Linked DNA regions of Callithrix jacchus. The protein of the gene in region 1 interacts with the protein of each later gene in a pairwise test. Links are inferred from orthologs where the notes say so. Each region holds a gene or a part of one and is shown in the gene's direction. Other genes may lie near its edges. The genes, in order: MEOX2, CNTNAP2, MAPKBP1, UNC45A, OIT3 and SYT17.

Region 1 (4,300 bases):
AAAGAAAAGATAGGCTTAAACAGGGGGACTGGAAGAGGAGAGGAAAGGTTCTGCTTTGGGGACACCTCTCAAAGATTAATCAATACTTTTTCCTAATTCAAACCAGATGTCTAGCCCAGTTTGCTGTACCCATTAATCCCATTAACAACTTCAAAGACCTGGTCACCATCCTCTGGACACCTGAGACAATGAAAATAACAGGGCGACACTGCTGGTGGTGCAGTCGGGGCTCCGGGTGGAATAGGTGACTACAGATATTCTCCTGATCCGACACGTCCCAGATCCGACGTGACTGTTCCTCCTGCTCATTAAAGCCCATTCACTTGTGTATAAACGACTGTGCCCCAGCGGATCTTGTCGCTCACCAAGCAAGTGGCAGTATCAAAGCCCTGCCCTCGCTCTCCCATGCTTACTGGAGGCAAGTTATCGAGTTTATTTTCAGGGATGCAAAGATGTAATCAAGCGCCCAAGCTTAGTGAATTCTTAGAGCTATCGAAATTTAAGATTTCTCAGTAAATGGAGCAGTGGTGTTAAGAGACACGATTAGTGGATTTATTTTTGAGCAGAAGAGTGGATTTCTAGAGGGAACTGAAGAGACCTGGGCTAGCTCCGGAGGGGAGAGGCTAGAAATGTGCATGCAAATCTACACATCTCATGTGACTGGGACAAAATCGCTTGGAAATAATTCTTGACCCAGGAAAATTTCTTCTTGGTGGACGAGTGGCTAGGAAATTGAGCGAGACCAGGAAAGCGGGGGGGAGGGAGACTCCACCGGGCATCGCACGTGAGGATGCCAGAGAGCAGGCATCTGCAATTCGCGCTTACCTCCCACCCACCCCACCAGGTCTTCCTTAGGTCTTCCTCTCAGGTCTTTCCGCACTGTGAACCACACTTTCCAGGCCATGGTGCACGTCCCCGAAACCTCAGACCTGGCGTCCCAGCCTCTTAACCACCACCCACAGAAACTAACTGCGAAAACCTAGGCGCGCGGCGGCGCCCTGGGCACGGGAAGATGCGAAGTTTGAAAAACTTCCAGAGTGCGCCAGGCTAGCTCTGATCTTTTCCTTTAACCCTATCACTTCTTTCGTGTTCCTCAAAGGCTAGGCGTATCCCTAGCTTTTCTGCAGGTGACAGTTCCCAAATGACACTGACAAGTTACGTTTTCCCAAGAGAAAAATTAGTAGGTGGGAAACAGGGTGCTGGGTTGGCGCTGGTGCGCGCCGCGCCCTGGCCTCCAGAGTCTGGAGGGCAGAGCCGCTGCCCTCCCGGGCGGGATTTAGACGCTGGCGCGCCGCTTGTAGTCCTGGTAGCTGGCAGGGCTAGGCGGGCGTGGACGCTCTGCGTCTGTCCAGCCGGCGATAGGAAGTGGAACTGGGAGCGCGTGGCGCAGACTGAGCGGGAGTTTTGGAGGGAGTTTGCATGTGGTCAACTCTGGGCTCCTAAGCCAGCCCCCAGCTCACGTTACAGTCTATTTATAACCTCTCAGAGCCATTTCCCCCTGAAGGCAGTTCACTGGGACCACCTTCTTTTGGCTTCAACCTCTCCCACTCTTGACATCTGAGTAGCTCAGGGAAGCTCTTCCAGGTCCGACTGTTCATATGTAAAGGAGACTGGCCGTTAGGGCTCAGGACCGGGATTATCCGAGCTCTGCAGAAGTGCACGGCTATTGCTTTGAGAGGGGTAAAAAACATCACACGGTTTCCAGTGAAAAGTGACAGAGGGTGGTGGCCTTTAGAACCGCCGTGAAGTCTTCTGCCTGGAACCCGAAACTTGCATGCTATGGAACACCCGCTCTTTGGCTGCCTGCGCAGCCCTCACGCCACGGCACAAGGCTTGCACCCGTTCTCCCAATCCTCTCTAGCCCTGCATGGAAGATCTGACCATATGTCTTACCCCGAGCTCTCTACTTCTTCCTCATCTTGCATAATCGCGGGATACCCCAACGAAGAGGGCATGTTTGCCAGCCAGCATCACAGGGGGCACCACCACCACCATCATCACCACCATCACCACCATCAGCAGCAGCAGCACCAGGCTCTGCAAACCAATTGGCACCTCCCGCAGATGTCCTCCCCACCGACTGCGGCTCGGCACAGCCTCTGCCTCCAGCCCGACTCCGGAGGACCCCCAGAGTTGGGGAGCAGCCCGCCTGTCCTGTGTTCCAACTCTTCCAGCTTGGGCTCCAGCACCCCGACCGGGGCCTCGTGCGCGCCAGGGGACTACGGTCGCCAGGCACTGTCACCTGCGGAGGCGGAGAAACGAAGCGGTGGCAAGAGGAAAAGCGACAGCTCAGGTAAGAGAGCGCCAGGCACCCTCGAGAGTGCGCGCCGGCCTGGAAAGGGGGCGGGGAGATGCCAGGGAAGAGTCTGGCCCTGGAGGGTGGCGGCGGGGAAGAGGGGAATGTGTTAAATTCGGCGGTGAAGCTTTGGTCCTGTTATTTGGGGGCACGTGTTTATCCGAGAGCAACACAGCTAGCAGCTCTAAGCTCTCCAAGGTCCTAAACTAGTTTACCAGAAGGTTGATAAAAAAGGACAAGTGGCTGTGAAATCGATTGCGAAGCGTGACCTTCCATCCCAGCGCGGGGGAGGGAGGGGCGTGTGCCCAGGGATGCCGCGTCCGTTGGGCAGGCGTGCGTGCGTGCGGGTGCTGCTTCTTGACTTTTCTCTTGCAAGTTCCCGACTCTGAGTGGCTTGACTTTTCCCATCGTAAACTGGATTTCCAAATTATTGCACAATATTTGGAACTTGCAATGGAACTTGGCAGAGCACATGAGAAAAAAAAAAAAGTTTTAGTTTTTTTTTTTTAAACATTCTTGTTTGAGAGTTCTTTAAATAGCACCCTATTTCAAATGGTAAAAATTTCCCCTTCTTAGGGAAGAAGATATTATCTAGGAATTCAGATTTTAAGGAATGTGTCAGAGAATTGTAAATAAATACATGCTCACGCTGGAAGAAAGACGAACCTTAATATAGTACATGTTCATGTTGTGTAAGTTAATTACAGAATCTAAATTTCAAGAGTGGAAAATAAATCCCTCTACCAAGTTGGTTTTAGCTGCGGCAAATACTGGGTAGCGAACAGCAACTTGGGTAGTGTCAGTTAGCTACGTGCCTGAAGGTCGTATGCAAGGGTGCGCAGGAAGCGCTGATTTCAGTGAGGATAATTTGAGCAGCCACGCAAAAGGGGAATCTTCCTGACCTCTGGTGCTTGAAGGCACAACTTGCAGAGTAAATTGTAGCAATCCAGAGAAACTCAAAGTTTTCCAGACAACTTTTCAAAGCTCTGACCTACTTCTATTATCATAAAATTGTTAAAAGATACTTTAAAATTGAGAGACTTGTGAGTTTTCTTTCGTGGCTATGGTGCACCCTGGCTTCCATCTTTTTGGAAGGTATTATTTGTTTAATATAATATTTGTATATTTTTCTTCCTCTGCGGAACTGGGTTAATAATAGTCCTAGAAGGTAATCCCATATATTGGTTTGAAGGATTGGAATGTTTATGCTTTTTAAAGCTTTAGGTGAGATGTCACATAAATGAAAATGATTGACCGCATGTTTAATATTCCTCTCCCCTTCGCAGCAATATCAATCGTTCTTCAGCGTTAGTATGGGATAGATTCTTCTGTCAGAAGAATAAAATAACTTTTATTTTCCAAGGATAGGGGATGAACTTTTAATGTTCAATCACAAATTAGTTTTTATAAGAAAGTTAGCAGTGGTGTCACTGATATTTACTGTATTTTCCTAACTATAAGTGAAACTCCCTTTAGATAGTGGAAGGTTAATCGTTGTAAGAAGGTTTCAATTTTTATTAGAAAAACCGTCGATTTTAGAATGCAGTGACAATTTTATAAACTGAACATTCGATATCAGTGTAACTTTTGAAAGAGATCCCAGTTCAGGCTGATGAGAGTACTCTTGCAATTCCCATAAGCCCTTACTGTTCATTTTATTTTTCTGCAATGAGAAACCTACATGATAGCCTTATGCTTCCGGAACTGAGCCACTGCCCTTAAGTTTCTTAGGGCAAACAATTTTCATGCAAGCACATGTTATTTTGTTTGGGGGAAACCAAGAAAATGGAATTCAATAACTGATTTCCTTAATTTATTTTAATAAAACTTTTTTTTTTAAAAAGGAATAATTTAATAACATTTGTCTCTTCCCCCAACTGTGTGGGAAATAGCCATTTAACAAAATTAAGTTCATTTCTACATGTTGAAGCTGATAATGAGGGTAATGGAAAAACAAACAAATATAAGTGTTTGTGTCAGCTGAATAAATTATGAATAAATTAA
Region 2 (3,500 bases), about 58 Mb from region 1:
CTGATATTTCAGTGAAATTGACTCAGCACTCATTCTACCTCCTCTTCCCCCACGCACTCATTCCCTCATTATGTGCTGACTCCAGAGTCAGCACCATTACTCTGGAAGGATCTTTAATTTTGTTAGGGAGACAATCCCCTCAACAATGGTATGTGGTCAGTTATAAAATCTCAGTTATTATGCATAGGCAGTTCTTTTCATCAGTTTTAAAATAATCATCTGTGATGGTACAGAGCAAATTTAATTTGAATATTAATTCAGGGAGACAGCCTGCCTTAGATTTATTGGTTAATGTGCTTAAATGGAAGAAATCAGTATCTGGTATATATATATGTGGTGGTGTAAAAAATATAGAGAGAAAAAGAAAAAGATAGAGAGATAGACCCAATGAAATATTATCCAATTACATTCCTTAAAATATTATTATAGGATAAAAGAAATTAGAAGCAAATACAGATTTTTAGATCTGTAAAGAGATGTTAGGCACTAAAATATAAAATTTAGTGTATCTGAATGCTAAATCAATGTGAATTGTTCTTGCTTATATCAAGAAGGAGGAGTATGGATAGGGAAGGACAAGCCTGAATTATTAGAAGTTTTGTTTCCATTTTGCCCATTTATACTGCTAGTTCCACAGGAATGAATGCCTTGTGATACAAGCACATTTCATGGGAATTTAAATGGGATTTTGAGTTGGTAATAGAATAATCTGCAATAACCACAATTACATTAACACTAAAAACAATATTTATCTATCTATGCATATATAAGGTATATAAATAAAAATACATAAGGTGTATAGATAAAAATCCAAGAATATTTTTTCTAAAATACCGGTTTCACAAATAGCAAACATATGATCATAGTCCGTACTGAGACCAGAGTAATATGTTAATTAATGTTAGCATTGACTACTCAGAATAGGGCAGAGCATCTCTCTCCCTGACTTGTGTTCGGCCAGCAGCAACTTTGTTGTCTTCAGAAAGTCTAGTGATCCACACTGATGCCCACAACACACATACACACTTTACAACTCGTGGTCAGCTTATCTCAACAGGCTGTCAGGCTGTCAGTCCCGGGGTGGAAGCTGCTTGTTATAGTTAGACAGCCACTGCTGTTCAATGTTAGGCCTCACACTCCAAGTAGATTCATGTTGGTGCTTCCAGTCACTGAATCCATGCCCTGCAGCTGGGTGTGAGTTTAGCTCAGGCTCAGGCTCTGCTTCAAAACTTACAGAACTCTACCTTCATCAGTGGTCTTACGTGGACATTTATTTTATTCTGTGTCTTCCTGAGAGCATGCCTTTCTATTTTATAGGGAAATTTGAGCTTCTCTTGTGTGGAACCCTATACGGTGCCTGTCTTTTTCAATGCTACAAGTTATCTGGAGGTGCCCGGACGGCTTAACCAGGACCTGTTCTCAGTCAGTTTCCAGTTTAGGACGTGGAACCCCAATGGTCTCCTGGTCTTCAGTCACTTTGCAGATAATCTGGGCAATGTGGAGATTGACCTCACTGAAAGCAAAGTGGGTGTTCACATCAACATCACACAGACCAAGATGAGCCAAATAGACATTTCCTCAGGTCAGTGAAACCTATTTGACATTTGTTCCTGAAACTGCTATTGCAATTTCCAAAGCTAATGTTTTGTTTTGTTTTGCTGGTGTTACGTGCTGAGGATTAGGTTGTAATTCAGATCTTCAAGACACGTAGTTGTACTATGTGCTAACTGAGTAAGGAAAACTTGGAAGTTGCTGAGAGGGCAAGGCAAGAGTGAGGGAGAAAGCTGGTTGAGATTGGAAAAGCAAAATACATTCCTTACCAATGCTAGCTTATATTTAATAGAAAAATTGCTGTTCTTTTAAGAGATTAATTTATATTTAAACACAAAGAATTTTTGTTAAAAAAATACACAGTTGTATCTGGTATCTTTTGACTTTATGAACATTCAAGTACTTTTTACTTATAGTAACAAGATTATACTAATTACAACTTTAAGGAATATTCCACTGCTGGAATCAACTTCAGAATGATCTTGCTAAAATTATGCTTATGTTTGGAAAGAAAACAAAAGTGAATACAAAGCAGAATGACAAGATTTGTATACGAACTGAAGGAAGACTGGCTTACCAAAAATAGGATAATTTAAAATTTGGCTTTGTAGTGACATGACAAGTGGAAGCTTAGGTGGTATTCTTTCTATTTGAATAGACTTAGCAACCTTGGAATGTTCTTTGATAAATATGGTCCAAAGAAAGGTGATATTTTAAATCGAGATGTTACAAGCAAAGAAAAAATAGTCACAATATTGGAATGATAGATAGTAACTGTTTTCATCTATTTTTCTTGAGATATTCTTTGTAATAGTCGTGTGTGTGTGTGTCTGTGTGTGTGTGTGTGTGAAGAACTACTTACAAATGGGAGATGCAAAGAAAACTAACATTTACTGAACACTTAGTACAGAAGTAGCAAATACTGAAAGAGGTCATGACGGAGAGCTCAATTGGATGACGATGGACTCTGTTTTCTGAATATGCCAGAAACACTCATGACACCCTACGCATACACCGGACATGTTTTCAGTCACACCGTGATTTGTGTTCCACTCATTTCCTCTCTAGGCTGCATGCTCCTTGAGAGCAGGGGCCATGCTCCTTCTTCTTCTGTCTTTAGCATATAGAATAGTACGTATAAGAGGTACTCTAGAATATTTGTTGAGTTCAATACTCTGACCCTTTAAACTAACAGAATACCCCTTGCTATAGAGCATACATTTTCTTGTAAAATAGGCTTTATGTTTGTGTATGGCCTGAATGTATGGTCTATTGCTGAAAAGGATGCAAGGAAGACATAAGAACTGTTATGTCACAGATGTGCCGAAATTATTAAAATCTAAAGCTATCGGGAAATACCTAGATATTCACTTTCTCCATTTCTCTTTATTAGTTCTGCTTTTTCCTTGAATGTCCATGGTTGATAAAATCAACCATATTTTCTCACTATAGTATTTTATAAATATACCTAGGGAGATTTGCAGCAAATAGAAAATATCTGGACAGACCAGAAAAACAGATAAAACTAAAACAAAACAAATGTTTACCACAGTTGAAAAACTCCCACATTACATTCCGTTATGATTAATGATTATTTTCTAATGACTAAACATATAAAAATATTAGTATGGAGGCCTCTCTCCTTGCATTCTCTGAGCAAATGCAATTTGTCTTTAGGTTTCTGTGTAACAGGAGCCAATATATTTAAAACAATAAGATCTGAAACCTAGTGGTCAATAAACATGTATTAGTTTGATTTTGCTAAATTTTAGTACTCCAAGATACTCTCATCTAATTTAAGCTGTTTTTATTTTGAAAATTAAAGATAGAATGAACAAAGGAAACCAATATGTGACAATTAATTCACCTTAATATAGTTGCTTAAATATAATAAAAGTGAACTGAAGCATTTTTTATCAATTTACCCAAGAATCTGTGCAAATTAATTG
Region 3 (3,500 bases), on another chromosome or scaffold:
TATTGGAAACAGTATAAACAGTCTCAGTGATGCAGGAAGGGTTGTAATGATAAATAGGGCTAGAGGGTGACTTTTGAGTGAGGCGGGAAGCCCCTTTGGGATGCCTCTGTGAGTCACTCTCAGACTTTACCTGGTCTCAAAGAAAAACATTCAAAGGCCCAGGGTCTCTAGTTGGACCTCCTGTGTCCTGCTCCCTGTCTGTGCTGCCCCATGCGTGGCTCATCCCATTGGGGGATGGAGAGTGGTAGGAGGTAGATCCTGTGGGAATCCTGGGCTCTCTGTGGTAGCAGCAGGCCCGGACCTGTGTCAGGAAGGGGATGTTGAAGGCTTGGCCCTTCCTGGGCAGTGGGCCCAGCACCTGGCGCGGGTACTCCACCACATGACTCCCCCAGGTTGAGGCCTGGATGTACTGAGGCCTTACACCCTCCCAGTGAGAGTGAGCAGCCGCTCTGCACCCGCAGGTGCTGAGTTGCAGGACTCAGCTGGTTGGACCAACCCAGCCCTTGGCATGTGGTGAAATCCCAGGAAGCACTGTAGGAAGGGCTTGCCCAGCTGGGCAGGGTCAGGGGATGTGGAGGGAAAGACTGATACAAACCGGGCCCCGCCCTCCTCTCCCTCGCTGACCTAGGAGCTTGCTCAGAGTTCACCAAGAAGGCTGAGAAGGCTCCTTGCTGCTTTTGAGAACAGGTTGGATCTCAACAAGCCAGGCACACAGGGAACCTTGGCCATGCTGCTCTCACTTCAGCATCTTTGTTACCATCCCTGCATATGGAACTTTGACCATGGAATCAGAACCTGATTCCATCCAGCAGCCTTGCTGCCTGGTGGGAGAGGTTGCCCTGGCCTTCTCTGCGAGGTGGGCAGAGTCCTTGATTGTCTGCTTCTGGCAGTCGGGGGGGTTATTCTCAGGTCTCTTGGGGCCAGGGATTCTCAGGGTGGGGCCCAGGACCTCCATGGCACTGTAAGGTTTTCCCGGGCCTTTCAGGCTCTCTCTTGCTCTCTTTCTCTTTCTCATGTTGGATGGCTTCCAAATAAAAATACTCCCTTAAGCGATGACCTCTATGTGGTTCCTTTTCTTGCTTAGCTCTTCTCTGCCACACCTGAGAATTTCTTAGGCTATACTGGGGCCAGGCGGTGTATTAGAGGACGGAGAGATCGCCTCATTGCCTCTAGCCAGCCATCCTTCTGTCTATATAGAAGCACACTCCATCCCCCTCTTCCTTCCACCGTGGAGCTGAACATAGGAGGAGGAGACAAGATGTCGTGTCACAGGAAGACTGAGTTTGAATGCAGTGACATGAAAAGTGTTTTAAGCAGTCCGATGCACTGCCCTTTAAAGGCCAAAATCCTGCTTTGGGATGAGAATTAAGGCAAAACTCCTAAGATTGCACATAGAGCCAAGTTTTTCTGGATTTGGAATATGGTTGACTGGATTATGCATCAAGTCAATTCAATTAGATCAACTCTCAGCTGAAGACCTCTACCATGGTTCCTGTGTAACGAATCCAAAAGCCAAGGAACTCGTACCCATTCAGACTAGAAGCCTTTGCTGGAGAGACGTGCCTGCAGAGGGTCTCAGGTCAGCACAGATTGGAAGAAGGTTCAGAAAACATTGGTTAACCCCTGAGAACTTTCTGAGCTCTGAATTCACGATGGTGGCGGGCCTGGGGGTATTACTTTTTATACATGGCATAAAGTATTAAAATCTAAATAAATCTGGCTGGGCGTAGTGGCACATACGTCTAATCTCAACATTTTGGGAGGCCAAGATGGGTGGATTACCTGAGGTCAGGAGTTCAAGAAAAGTCTGACCAATATGGTGAAACCCCGTCTCTACTAAAAATACAAAAAAAGGAGCCAGACTTGGTGATGGATGCCTGTAATCCCCGCCACTCGGGTGGCTGAAACAGGAGAATTGCTTGAACCTGGGAGGTGAAGGTTGCAGTGAGCTGAGATTGAGCCACTGCACTTCAGCCTGGGTGGACAGAATGAGACCCTGTCTCCAAAAAAAAAGGAAGGGCTGAGTAGGGTGGCATGGGCCTGTAATCCCAGCTACTTGGGAGGATGAGGCAGGAGGATTGCTTGAGCCCAGGAGTTCAAGACCAGCCTGGGCAACACAGTGAGACTTTGTCTCAAAAAAACAAAACCAAAAAGAGAGAAAGGAAAAAGGAAACAGGAACAAGGAAAGAGTAGGAAATGGAGAAAGGAGAAATAAAATAGTGAGGAGGAGTGGCGGATTTGAGGAGAAAATGATGTGGCGCAGAAATTCCACAGCTGTTGGTCAGCCTGGCAGTTCTGGGCATATCCGGTCACATTGGAGGTCCCAGTGTCCCAGAATTTGCATATTGAAGTGGTTTATTGAGCCCAAGATGCTTAGCATTCACTAGCAGCTTGCACCTACCTCCCTTCACGGTTCCAGCCGGTAGTGGTGTTCAGATACAGGGGCTGCAGTGAGGTCCCACTCGGGAAAGTCAGGCCTGGGGAAGTAGCTGTCTGCCCTTTCCCTCCTCCCTGCCTTTCCTAATCGCAGCCTCTAGGCTTGCTCCTGTCTGCTAGTTCAGTGCTAATGAAGAGGTGAGGCGGGCAAGGGGTAATGGGCCAGGGCCTGCTGACGGCCAAGAAGCCTGAGGAGAAGCTGCCTGGCTATTGGCCTTTGGCTTCTTGCCCCTGATTCCTACTACCCAGCTTCTGTCTCCGGAGCTGCCTCTGGAAAGGCAGGACTGATTCCATCCAGCAGCCTTGCTGCCTGATGGGAGAGGTTGCCCCACCTTCTCTGCGAGGTGGACAGAGTCCTTGATTATCTGCTTCTGGCAGTCAGGGTAGCTCTTCTCAGGTTTCTTGGAGCCAGGGATTTTCAAGGTGGGGCCTGGGACCTCCGTGGCACTGTAAGGCTATCCTGGGCCTTCTCAGGCTCTCTCTCTCTCCCCCTACCCTATCTGACTGAGCCTCTCTGCTGTGTGGCCCCATGCCTGGCCTCCCACTTCCTTCCTCACTCAACACATGGAGGGTGTGGGGGGCCAGCTCTTGCCAAGTACACACATGGGTGCAAACAAGAGGCCTTACATCTTAAGGCACACATGCTTGATAGACATACATGTGGCCCCAAGCCTGCATACAGGCTGTATACCTGAGGCCTGCTTTGCCCAAATACATTTCTTCTTCCCTCCTATACCCCTTCCTGAGGTATGCACAAGGGCTGTGGGATGGCCTGTGTCCCTGCTACCCTTTGTGGGTATGACCAGAGAAAGAGCTGGTATTTAGGGACCTGGTAGTGGGGACAGGTTTCCAGGGAGCCCTTTCACCCTTGTGGGCCTACAGAGATAGGCTGTCTTGGATGGGGAAAAGGAGAAAGAACAGTTTGCCAGAAGAAAGCAGTGGAGGCTGGGTGTGGTGGCTTGTGCTGTAATCCCAGCACGTTGGGAGGCAGATCCCTTGAGCTCAAGAGTTCAAGATTAGCCTGGGCAACGTGGCAAGATCTTCTCTCTACAAAAAATACAAAA
Region 4 (3,500 bases), on another chromosome or scaffold:
GGTAGCTCTGTGGTTCCTGCTGTCCACCTGGGGAAACGGTTTAGGAATAGAGCTTACCAGGCTTTCTCAGCAGGGCTTGGCCAGTGGGGTCTTTTGCTCCCAGGGAGGAGGGCTGGTGGCTGAGTGGCTGCTCTGTGTGGTGTGGGCACGTTGGCCAGCACCAGTGCAGGTAGCAAGGATGTTCTCCTTGGAGGAGCTGGGGAGGTCCAGTTTGTAAGCTCCCAAAGTCTGGGGCCTGGGGAGCTTCCTGAATTCATCCTGTACCCTAGGGCCCCAGCTGAGGGTGGAATTGGGGGCCTGGGCCTGGGCAGCATTTACCCGAGTGCTGCTCTGGCCCAGGGTGGCCTGCGAATGCCTCTCCATCCTGGCAGTCTGAGGAGAGGTCGGTGCTCTTTGCGGTGGCCTCTGCGCTGGTTAACTGCACCAACAGCTACGACTTTGAGGAGCCTGATCCCAAGATGGTGGAGCTGGCCAAGTATGCCAAGCAGCACGTGCCTGAGCAGCACCCCAAGGTGAGGGGCCGCCAGAGGGGCCAGAGGTTGCCCCGTCATGGGGACCAGTTGACCCAGGGCATCCGCAGTAGACCAGCTTCCCATTTAAGCCAGCTTCTTTCCCTTTGTCTGGCTGTTTCATTGCCCAGTTCCTCAGTTGCTGCTATGAGAAGGTTGTTCCCACTTTCTCTGCAAGTCAGCCCAGGGCCCCCTCCTAAGCTGCCTCCTCCCCCAGGACAAGCCAAGCTTTGTGCGGGCTCGAGTGAAGAAGCTGCTGGCAGCGGGTGTGGTGTCAGCCATGGTATGCATGGTGAAGACTGAGAGCCCTGTGCTGACCAATTCCTGCCGAGAGCTGCTCTCCAGGTGAGCCAGCCTTGGTGGGAGCCAGCCTTGCCCAACTACTGGGCTTCGGGGCTGCGGATGTGGCTCCAGAGGCTGCAGGTTCCAGTGCTGTGGGCCTCTTAGAGTGACAGGGCTGCCTGCCTGGCTGCCTTCCTTGCTGAGTGCAGGAATGGAGCGTCTGCCTGCCAGAGTCCCAGAGCTGCCTGCCCACCACTGCCTTCTCCCCATAGGGTCTTCCTGGCTTTGGTGGAAGAGGTAGAGGACCGAGGCACCGTGGTTGCCCAGGGAGGCGGCAGGGTAAGCTGGTTTACACACCCCTTCCTGCCGGCTGAGCAATCAGCTTATAAAACGTGACTCAGCGGCTGCCACGCCAGAGCTGGGTGTTAGATGTGGGACAGGAAAACATGAGTAATGGCCAGAAGGACATTGTCCCGCTGAGAGAGGGATGTGGAAGCGGGCAGGCTTGTGAATGGCCTGGGCTCTCCTCCTATTCCTTTGTCTCGTTGACCTCCATGGCTCTGGTGCCCAGCACAATCCATGTCCAGCCCTTAGTAGGGGTTTCAGGAAATGTTTGGGTGAGAGGGTCTACACTGGGAGTCCAGCCTGTGAGAGGGAAGAGGGTGAGGGTGACACAGTCAGGGCCTTGGGGCCTGATGGTTTGGGTCTTACACTCCCAGGCACGTCCTGAGCAGTGACGGGCTTGTTACTGCAGGCACTGATCCCACTGGCCCTGGAAGGCACGGATGTGGGGCAGACAAAAGCAGCCCAGGCCCTTGCCAAGCTCACCATCACCTCCAACCCTGAGATGACCTTCCCTGGCGAGCGGGTGTGTATCTTCCTGCTCCGGCCTTTCCACTCCCTCTGTCCCTAGTGGCCTGTGGGCTGGGCTGTAGCTGCCCTTTGGGACCAGCAGGAAGTTTCAGCTTTGCTGAGCCCTGGGTAGGGAGGACAGCCTGAGAGCGGAGCACTCTCTGCGGGTGGGCTCCTCCCCGCCGGGTTGGTGGGGCTGTGGGGGCTGCGGTAGTAGCCCTGACAGGTAGGGTGCACATTGCAGATCTACGAGGTGGTCCGGCCCCTTGTGTCCCTGTTGCACCTGAACTGCTCAGGCCTGCAGAACTTCGAGGCGCTCATGGCCCTAACAAACTTGGCGGGGATCAGCGAGAGGCTCCGGTAAGCCTCCTTGGGATGCGGGGCCTGGGCCAGGTGTCAGGATTTGGAATATCCCAGTCACTGGCTTTTGTGGCCTCAGTGGCTCCTTGGCAATTTTAGAGAGGAGAAGCCAGGCCAAGAGGCACCATGGCATGGCAGGCTCTGGAGGCACATTGCCTCGCTTCCCTGATGCAAATGTGTCACCACAAGCAAGTTACTTCACTGCTCTGCCTCAGTGTCTCCCTCTGGGAAATGGGATGATTATAGCACCTACCTCACGGCATAGTGATGAGGAGAATGAAATGAGAAAATACACTTAAAAGTACTTACTACATAGGTACCTGGCTCCTAGCACTGTGCCATATCAGCATGTTTTAGTTTCATTACTGTGACTTTGAACGTGGGACTCATTACTCAGCCCCTGTTTCCTCTTCTGCAAAGCAGTAGTGATGATGATTACACCTGCACCTTCACCACAGCGCTGTGGTGAGGATTAACTAAGATGATATAGGTGCCTGGTCAGGTCAGTACTCAAATGAGGCCAGGTGCGGCGGCTCACACCTGTAATCTCAGCACTTTGGGAGGCCTAGGTGGGCGGATCACTTGAGGTCGGGAGTTCAAGACCAGCCTGACCAACACGGAGGAATCCCTTCTCTACTAAAAAATACAAAGTTAGCTGGGCATGGTGGTGCATGCCTATAATCCCAGCTAATTGGGAGGCTGAGGCAGGAGGATCACTGGGAGGTGGAGGTTGCTGTGAGCAAAGATGGCGCCATTGCACTCCAGCCTGGGCAACAAGAGCAAAACTCTGTCTCAAAAAAAAAAAAAATGGGTAACAGGCACTGTAGTTCACAGCAAGAGGGTCCTTGGATGTGGCCAAGGAAAATCCTCAGCCCAGGACTTGACTGCATGAGGGTGTGGGTGCGGAGGTGGAGCAGATGTAGGAAGTCTCAATGATGCTGCCTGTGTTCATCTGTTCTCGCATTGCTGTAAAGGAATACCTGACACTGGGTAGTTTCTAAAGAAAAGAGGTTTAATTGGTTCGTGGTTCTACAGGCTGTATAAGCATGGTGTCAGCATTTGCTCACCTTCTGGGGAGGCCTCAGAGAGCTTTTACTCATAGAAGGCGAAGCAGGAGCAGGCACGTAACCTGGTGAAACTAAGGGCAAGAGAGTCGGGGGAGATGCCACACACTTTGAAACAACCAGATCTCATAAGAATTCACTATCGAGAGGACTGTACCAAGCGACGAGGGACCCACCCCATGACCCAGTCACCTCCCACGAGGCTTAGGGTCAAGGTAGAGGGCATAGGGTTTACAGTTCAACATGAGAGTTAGAAGGGACAATACCTGGGCTAGGCGCAGTAGCTCAGGCCTGTAATCCCTGAGAGAGGGTGAGGTGGGCAGATCACCTGAGGTCAGGAGTTTGAGACCAGTCTGGCCAATGTGATGGTGAAACCCCATTTCTTTTTTTTTTTTTTTTTTTTTGAGACGGAGTTTTGCTTGTTACCCAGGCT
Region 5 (3,500 bases), on another chromosome or scaffold:
CTCGTTCTTGTTGCCCAGGCTGGAGTGCAGTGGTGCAATCTTGGCTCACTGCAACCTCCACCTCCTGTGTTCAAGTGATTCTTCTGCCTCAGCCTCCTGAGTAGCTGGAATTACAGGTGCCTGCCACCATGCCCTGCTAATTTTTGTTTATTTTTTAGTAGAAACAGGGTTTCACCATGTTGGCCAGTCTGGTCTCAAACTCCTGACCTCAGGTGATCCACCTGCCTTGGACTACCAAAGTGCTGGGATTACAGGCATGAGCCACCGTGCCCAGGCTTCTTCCCCCTTCCCCCCTCCCCCCCTTTAACAGTCTGGCCACTTTTCTGTAGGGCTGCTGTGGTTTATTGGGCGTCTGTTCCAGTCCCTAATTCCCTCATATTTTCCAGTACCTGGAGGTATCACCAGTGAAGGCTGTGAAACAGCAAAGATAGCAGGCTGCCCCTTCCTCTGGAGCTCCATCCCAGCAGAGTACAGACCTGTTGCCAGCCTTAACATACCATTAGGTGGTGGCTGGAAACCCCAGTTGGGAGGTCTCAGCCAGCCAGGAGGAAAAGGACTGGGGACCTACTTAAAGAAGCAGTCTAGCCCTGCTTTCATAGAGTGACTGAACTGTGCTGGAGTACCATTTCCACCCCCCACCCCCACCACCCCTTGTTTCAATCAGGTTGCCCTCTTCAAAGCCTGGAGGCTGAAAGAGCTCAGTTGCTGAAACAGCAAAGATGGTGGTCTCCCTCTTCCTCTGGGAGCTCCATCTCAGTGGGGTACAGAACTGTTGCTGACCTGAACACACCTATAGGAGGTAGCTGGATACTCCAGTTGGGAGATCTCACCCAGCCAGGAGTAAGGATCGAGGACCTGCTTAAAGAAGCAGTATGGCCACTATGCCATGCTGGGGTACTGCTTTCACCCCCAGACAGTTTCCTAGAGCAGCTATACCATGCTGGGTACTAATTTCACCCCCAGAAAGTTTCTTAGAGCAGCTATACCATGCTGGGGTACTGCTTTCACCCCAAGAGAGTTTCCTAGAGCAGCTATACCATGCTGGGGTACTGCCTTCACCCCCAGAGAGTTTCCTAGAGCAGCTATACCATGCTGGGGTACTGCTTTCACCCCCAGACAGTTTCCTAGAGCAGCTATACCATGCTGGGTACTAATTTCACCCCCAGACAGTTTCTTAGAGCAGCTATACCATGCTGGGGTACTGCTTTCACCCCCAGGGAGTTTCTTAGAGCAGCTATACCATGCTGGGTACTAATTTCACCCCCAGACAATTTCTTAGAGCAGCTATACCATGCTGGGGTACTGCTTTTACCCCCAGACAGTTCCCTAGAGCAGCTATACCATGTTGGGTACTGCTTCACCCCCAGTCAGCTCCCCAGAGCAGCTGTACCACGCTGGGGTACTGCTTTCACCCCCAGACAGTTTCCTAGAGCAACTATACCATGCTGGGTACTGTTTTCACCCCCAGACAGCTCCCTAGAGCAGTTATACCATGCTGGAGTACTGCTTTCACCCCCAGTCAGCTCCCCAGAGCAGCTGTACCATGCTGGGGTACTGCTTTCACCCCCAGACAGTTCCCTAGAGCAGCCATACCATGATGGGTACTGCTTTCACCCCCAGACAGTTCCCTAGAGCAGCCATCCCATGATGGGTACTGCTTTCACCCCCAGACAGTTCCCTAGAGCAGCCATACCATGATGGGTACTGCTTTCACCCCCAGACAGTTCCCTAGAGCAGCCATACCATGATGGGTATTGCTTTCACCCCCAGACAGTTCCCTAGAGCAGCCATACCATGATGGGTACTGCTTTCACCCCCAGACAGTTCCCTAGAGCAGCTATACCATGCTGGGGTACTACTTTCACCCCCAGACAGTTTGGACTCCCCACAGGCTAGAATGGCTAAGTTGTCCAAACAGCAAAGATGGCAGTCTGCTCCTCCCTCTGGGCACTTCATCCCAGGAAGAAATCAAAACTCTGTCTGCCAGAGAATATGGGTGGGCAGAGCTGGCTGGAGGCCCCAGTTGGGAGGTCCTGCCCAGAGATAAGGAGGGATCAGGGTCCCACTTAAAGACGCAGTCTGGCTGTGTTTTGGTAGAGCTAAGACTCTTAACAGTCAGGATGGCTTGATAACAAAAGGAGGGCAATAGGAAAAAACAAAACAAAACTTCAGCCTTAGGCAACCAAATCTGTAATGCATTTTGATATAAATAGAAGCTGGTAGAATGTTAAGGTGAGAGGGGAGGGAAAAAACTGTAGAAGTAAATAGACAATCTCTTTCCTCTCCTCACCCTGGCCTGGCTTAGGTGGTGAATGACAAGATCGTGGCCAGCAACCTTGTGACAGGTCTACCCAAGCAGACCCCGGGGAGCAGCGGGGACTTCATCATCCGAACCAGCAAGCTGCTGATCCCGGTGACCTGCGAGTTTCCACGCCTGTACACCATTTCTGAAGGATACGTTCCCAACCTTCGAAACTCCCCGCTGGAAATCATGAGCCGAAATCATGGGATCTTCCCATTCACTCTGGAGATCTTCAAGGACGATGAGTTTGAGGAACCTTACCGGGAAGCTTTGCCCACCCTCAAGCTTCGTGACTCCCTCTACTTTGGCATCGAGCCTCTGGTGCACGTGAGCAGCTTGGAAAGCTTGGTGGAGAGCTGCTTTGCCACCCCCACCTCCAAGATTGACGAGGTCCTGAAATACTACCTCATCCGGGATGGGTAATGCTGCTGCCGGAACCATCTCATCACCCCTAGTTTGTATCCGACTTCTAAGTTCACAGCACACCCAGCCATTTACTAAAACTGCATGGCACAACTGTCAGCCCTCTGCTAGTTCAGGGACCACTTATTGACGTTTTGGAGGTAAAAACCAGTGAGGGAAAGGAGAGTAAAAAATGGCTCCTAGGCCAGGCATGGTGGCTCACACCTGTAATCCTAGCGCTTTGGGAGGCCAAGGTGGGTGGATCACCTGCGGTCAAGAGTTTGAGACCAGCCTGGCCAACATGGTGAAACCCTGTCTCTACTCAAAACACAAAAATTAGCTGGGTGTGGTGGTGGGTGCCTGTAATCCCAGCTACTTGGGAGGCTGAGGCAGGAGACTCGCTTGAACCCGGGAGGTAGAGGTTGCAGTGAGCCAAGATTGCACCACTGCACTCTAGCCTAGGTGACAAGAGCAAAATTCCATCTCAAAAAAAAAAAAAAAAGGCTCCTAGGGGTCTAGCCCATGTGACTGACTAGATCCTATTAACCAAGATGAAAAGATGCGTATAGAAAAGCAGATTTGAGGTAAAAATGCTGAATTTCGTCATTCAAAATGATATATTGAATAAGTTCATTTTTCAGATACCTGCAGGATACCTAGGAAGAGAAGTTCAGTGGGCATTCAGTAGAAATGCATTATCAGCTAGACTAGGTAACATGGTCTGGACTAGAACTGAGGACAGGAAATCATCTGATTCCCTGCAGGATTCCCTGTAGGATTGAGTAACCTGCTCAGA
Region 6 (3,500 bases), on another chromosome or scaffold:
CCATGTCAAGGACTTAGTTTAAAATATTCAGCTAAAATGTTTTGCAAGTCAGGATATAGGCGAAACACCATGTGGCAAAATGTCAATAATTGTTACAGACTTTTGATGGATAGATGGAGATTTGTTATGCTAGTTTATTATTTTGTATATAGTTGAAATTTTCTACAATATGTTTATTTTTGGTAAGGGACAGAGAAGTAGGAGGTCTCCTGTTTTCTAGGTATTTTTGGCAGTATAGAGTCATGTGCTTAGGTGTTCCTGTGAATTTTCCACAGTGTGATAGAGTTGACATCAAGGGGATGGGTGCTCTTCAACAAGGGATGTCACCGTGCTGAGTGTTGCTATGGTGTGGTTAGAAGTGTGGAGTCTATTGGAGATTAGAGGTTAAGAACAGATTTTTTCACTCAGATAGTTCCTCTGCAGGGCATTCTACCTCCCAGGTATCCCATGCAGTCAGAGTATCTGGGATCAAATCAGCCTCCCTGGGTCTAAGTACCAGCTCTACCACTTTCTTGCTGTGGCTTTGGACATGTTATTTAATCCCACGAGCCTCAGTTTCCTCATCTGTTAAACAGAGTTAATACTTCATTAGAAGGTTAGTCATTACACGTGAAGCACTTAGCGTAGTACATGGCAGTGTAACATGCATTTATTTTTTATTATTGCTGCTTTTGTTGTTATTGTTGTTGCTGTTGATTGACCTAAGAGTGGAAAAAACTCAGAGATAGATGAACCACAGTAATTGGAGGCAGAATTGAAAAGAAGTCATATACAGAGACACTTCTGTCCACCGAAGCACTCACAGCAACCCATTTGTGAGCTGCTGCGGTCAATTTCCTGCATGGTGGCTGCAAAAGGAATAAGAGGAGAAAGCAACTTCCTGACTACTTCCTTTCTCTGCAGAATGAAGTGGAGCTAGGGGAGCTGCTTCTGTCACTGAATTATCTCCCAAGTGCTGGCAGACTGAATGTTGATGTCATCCGAGCCAAGCAACTTCTTCAAACAGATGTGAGCCAAGGTTCAGGTACCGTGTGATTCCCTCCTTCTCTCTCTTTATTAGTGAGGCATCTATGTTTGTGTGGGGGACCTAATTTTCTTTTTCTGCATCCTGAATGAACATTATTCATCTCAGGATGAGGCAGGTAAATGATGCCACCTTAGTAACCCTACTGGAATTGGGGAGTTGACTGAGACCAGTTGTAATAACTACAGGAAACCTACCTCTTTGAACCCAAGGAAGTGACTTGGCCTTTCCAAATGCTATTCCTACAATAAAGACGCCATCCTGCAGGTGGTGATAGTGTACATTGACTATGCTTCTCACCCCGCTACCTCCCCAGCTGAAGTCTTACTCTGTCTCCCAGGCTGGAGTGCAGTGGTGTGATCTCGGCTCACTGCAACCTTCGCCTCCCAGGTTCAAGTGATGTTCCTGCCTCAACCTCCAGAGCAACTGGGACTACAGGCGTGTGCTACCATGCCCAGCGAATTTTTGTAATTTTAGTAGAGAGAGGGTTTCACCATATTGGCTAGGCTGGTCTCGAACTCCTAACCTCATGATCTTCCCGCCTCAGCCTCCCAAAGTGCTGAGATTACAGGCGTGAGCCACCGTGTCCAGCCAACTATGCATTCTAAGCAGTGAGTGTAGAGGACACACCCTGAGGGTTTTTTCCCCCAGCTCATTTCATGTGTACCATAAATCTTCATGAATTCCAGCTCTGAAAAGACTTGTATTTAAAGTATATACATTATAGCAAAAACCATTCAAACATGACTTTTAATGGAAGGGAACAGATTCCATTCCATCTGTCTGTTGCTTCTCCCATGACAGCAAAGGACATTACTGTGAAAGCACCTGTAATCACAGGGATCTCTTCAGCTCAGTGGTAGAATTATTGTCTTCTCTAAGTGCAATAGCTAAAATAAATTACTTTTGCAATAAGGTGACAGCTAGAAGACAATCTGCATTCTCAAAAACCATATTATAAAAACAGAGGCTTAGAAAGGGCCATTGGAGGCAATGGTTTTAAGACTGAAGAGTTTCAGACTCACTGCAATGGGAGAGGCAGTATGATCAAATCATTAAGGGTTGAGGAGTCAAATGATGTGGCTTGCAAATGATGTGGCTTTGGGTAAGTTACTTAACCTCTATATGCCTCAATTTCTCAGTCTCAAAAATTGACATAATAACAGTATTCATCTTGATAAGTTGTTTAAACAAATATTAAATTAGATAATGTACATGAATCCCTTTGTAAAATGTAAAATGATCTAAAGATGAATTATAATTCTGCCATCTCTATTCTCCTGTATATGGGCTATGGGCTCACTGAAATGATAATGGGTTTCCACAAACAGAAAGCCAGGGCAGGCTCTGAGTCTGGTTCTGTCTCTACCAGCAAGATCTTTAAGAAATGATTTCTCACCTTGAGTTCTCAGTTTTTTCTCATCTGTAAGATGAACACAATGCTGACACATGGCAGGAGCTCAACAAATATTAGATGGCTAAAGGAAAAAGGAAAGGGATAAACAGATAAGCAGATGGATGAAAATGATGGTTAGATAATAGATGGATAGATGGTTGAATTGTCAAATAGAGGGGAAACTAGACGGATAGAAATGAATAGATAAAAGAATGGTGAGATGATGAATGGATCAGTGAACTGATGGATGGGAAGATGGACGGATGGACAGCTGGATGAACGGATGGACTGAGATGAATGAAAAGTTGAATTAGTGGATGATAGAAGAATGGATGAATGAAAAGATGGATGGATGGATGGGAGGTTGAATGGATCAATGACTGGACAAATTAGATTTCATGATTTCTAACATTTTATGATGCTGTATCTAATTTTCAGACCCCTTTGTGAAAATCCAGTTGGTGCATGGACTCAAACTTGTGAAAACCAAGAAGACATCCTTCTTAAGAGGCACAATTGATCCTTTCTACAATGAATCCTTCAGCTTCAAAGTTCCCCAAGAAGAACTGGAAAATGCCAGCTTAGTGTTTACAGGTAGGTAGCATTCCAAAACCTGATGAACTCCAGGTAAGACTTGTTCAACTTACTGTCCTGGAGACAGAAGACATCTAGAGAGAGTTATATTTAAGAACTTAATGTCTGCTGTTCAACTACATGGGGTTGATGCCATTTAACATCTATGAACTTGGGCAGGACTTATACAGCCCTATAATATAATTGTTAGAAATGTGGACTTGAGCCACATTTCCTCATACTGCCACACAATAACTGAGGTCTTTGGCAAGTTACTTAACTCCCCTGAGCTTCAGTTTCCTCATCTATAAAATGGGAACAATATATATAATGGTACTTGTGGCTTAGGTTTGCTGTGAATAGTAAATGGCTTATGACTTTGGAATATACTTGGTACATAATAAGTACTCACTTTGTGTTTGTGTTGATGATGATGGTGGTGATGATTCAAGTTTCCTGCAGTCAAATAAGAGAAGCATATGAGAAAACAGGGTCACCTAACTCAGA

What was found.
Region 2: the proteins of MEOX2 (region 1) and CNTNAP2 interact in binary tests that used the Homo sapiens proteins (3 or more experiments, as listed by UniProt). The link is inferred for Callithrix jacchus from reciprocal best matches to the Homo sapiens genes MEOX2 and CNTNAP2.
Region 3: the proteins of MEOX2 (region 1) and MAPKBP1 interact in binary tests that used the Homo sapiens proteins (3 or more experiments, as listed by UniProt). The two-hybrid records come from large-scale screens. The link is inferred for Callithrix jacchus from reciprocal best matches to the Homo sapiens genes MEOX2 and MAPKBP1.
Region 4: the proteins of MEOX2 (region 1) and UNC45A interact in binary tests that used the Homo sapiens proteins (3 or more experiments, as listed by UniProt). The two-hybrid records come from large-scale screens. The link is inferred for Callithrix jacchus from reciprocal best matches to the Homo sapiens genes MEOX2 and UNC45A.
Region 5: the proteins of MEOX2 (region 1) and OIT3 interact in binary tests that used the Homo sapiens proteins (3 or more experiments, as listed by UniProt). The two-hybrid records come from large-scale screens. The link is inferred for Callithrix jacchus from reciprocal best matches to the Homo sapiens genes MEOX2 and OIT3.
Region 6: the proteins of MEOX2 (region 1) and SYT17 interact in binary tests that used the Homo sapiens proteins (3 or more experiments, as listed by UniProt). The two-hybrid records come from large-scale screens. The link is inferred for Callithrix jacchus from reciprocal best matches to the Homo sapiens genes MEOX2 and SYT17.

Annotation. Positions count from the first base shown.
Region 1 is NC_133512.1:42,792,488-42,796,787, forward strand, and holds the start of MEOX2 (homeobox protein MOX-2), read left to right. Parts: upstream 1-1,500; 5' UTR 1,501-1,779; coding exon 1,780-2,293; exon of another isoform or gene 2,294-2,334; intron 2,335-4,300. UniProt on the Homo sapiens protein: Mesodermal transcription factor that plays a key role in somitogenesis and somitogenesis and limb muscle differentiation. Required during limb development for normal appendicular muscle formation and for the normal regulation of myogenic genes.
Region 2 is NC_133512.1:100,642,493-100,645,992, reverse strand, and holds part of CNTNAP2 (contactin-associated protein-like 2), read left to right. Parts: intron 1-1,317; coding exon 1,318-1,582; intron 1,583-3,500. UniProt on the Homo sapiens protein: Required for gap junction formation. Required, with CNTNAP1, for radial and longitudinal organization of myelinated axons.
Region 3 is NC_133509.1:44,794,599-44,798,098, reverse strand, and holds part of MAPKBP1 (mitogen-activated protein kinase-binding protein 1), read left to right. Parts: intron 1-1,084; 5' UTR 1,085-1,358; coding exon 1,359-1,579; intron 1,580-3,500. UniProt on the Homo sapiens protein: Negative regulator of NOD2 function. It down-regulates NOD2-induced processes such as activation of NF-kappa-B signaling, IL8 secretion and antibacterial response. Involved in JNK signaling pathway.
Region 4 is NC_133507.1:19,486,719-19,490,218, reverse strand, and holds part of UNC45A (protein unc-45 homolog A), read left to right. Parts: coding exon 1-1; intron 2-371; coding exon 372-512; intron 513-726; coding exon 727-854; intron 855-1,063; coding exon 1,064-1,130; intron 1,131-1,545; coding exon 1,546-1,659; intron 1,660-1,887; coding exon 1,888-2,003; intron 2,004-3,500.
Region 5 is NC_133513.1:57,217,724-57,221,223, reverse strand, and holds part of OIT3 (oncoprotein-induced transcript 3 protein), read left to right. Parts: intron 1-2,305; coding exon 2,306-2,721; exon of another isoform or gene 2,722-2,756; intron 2,757-3,500.
Region 6 is NC_133513.1:20,686,639-20,690,138, forward strand, and holds part of SYT17 (synaptotagmin-17), read left to right. Parts: intron 1-903; coding exon 904-1,024; intron 1,025-2,858; coding exon 2,859-3,014; intron 3,015-3,500. UniProt on the Homo sapiens protein: Plays a role in dendrite formation by melanocytes.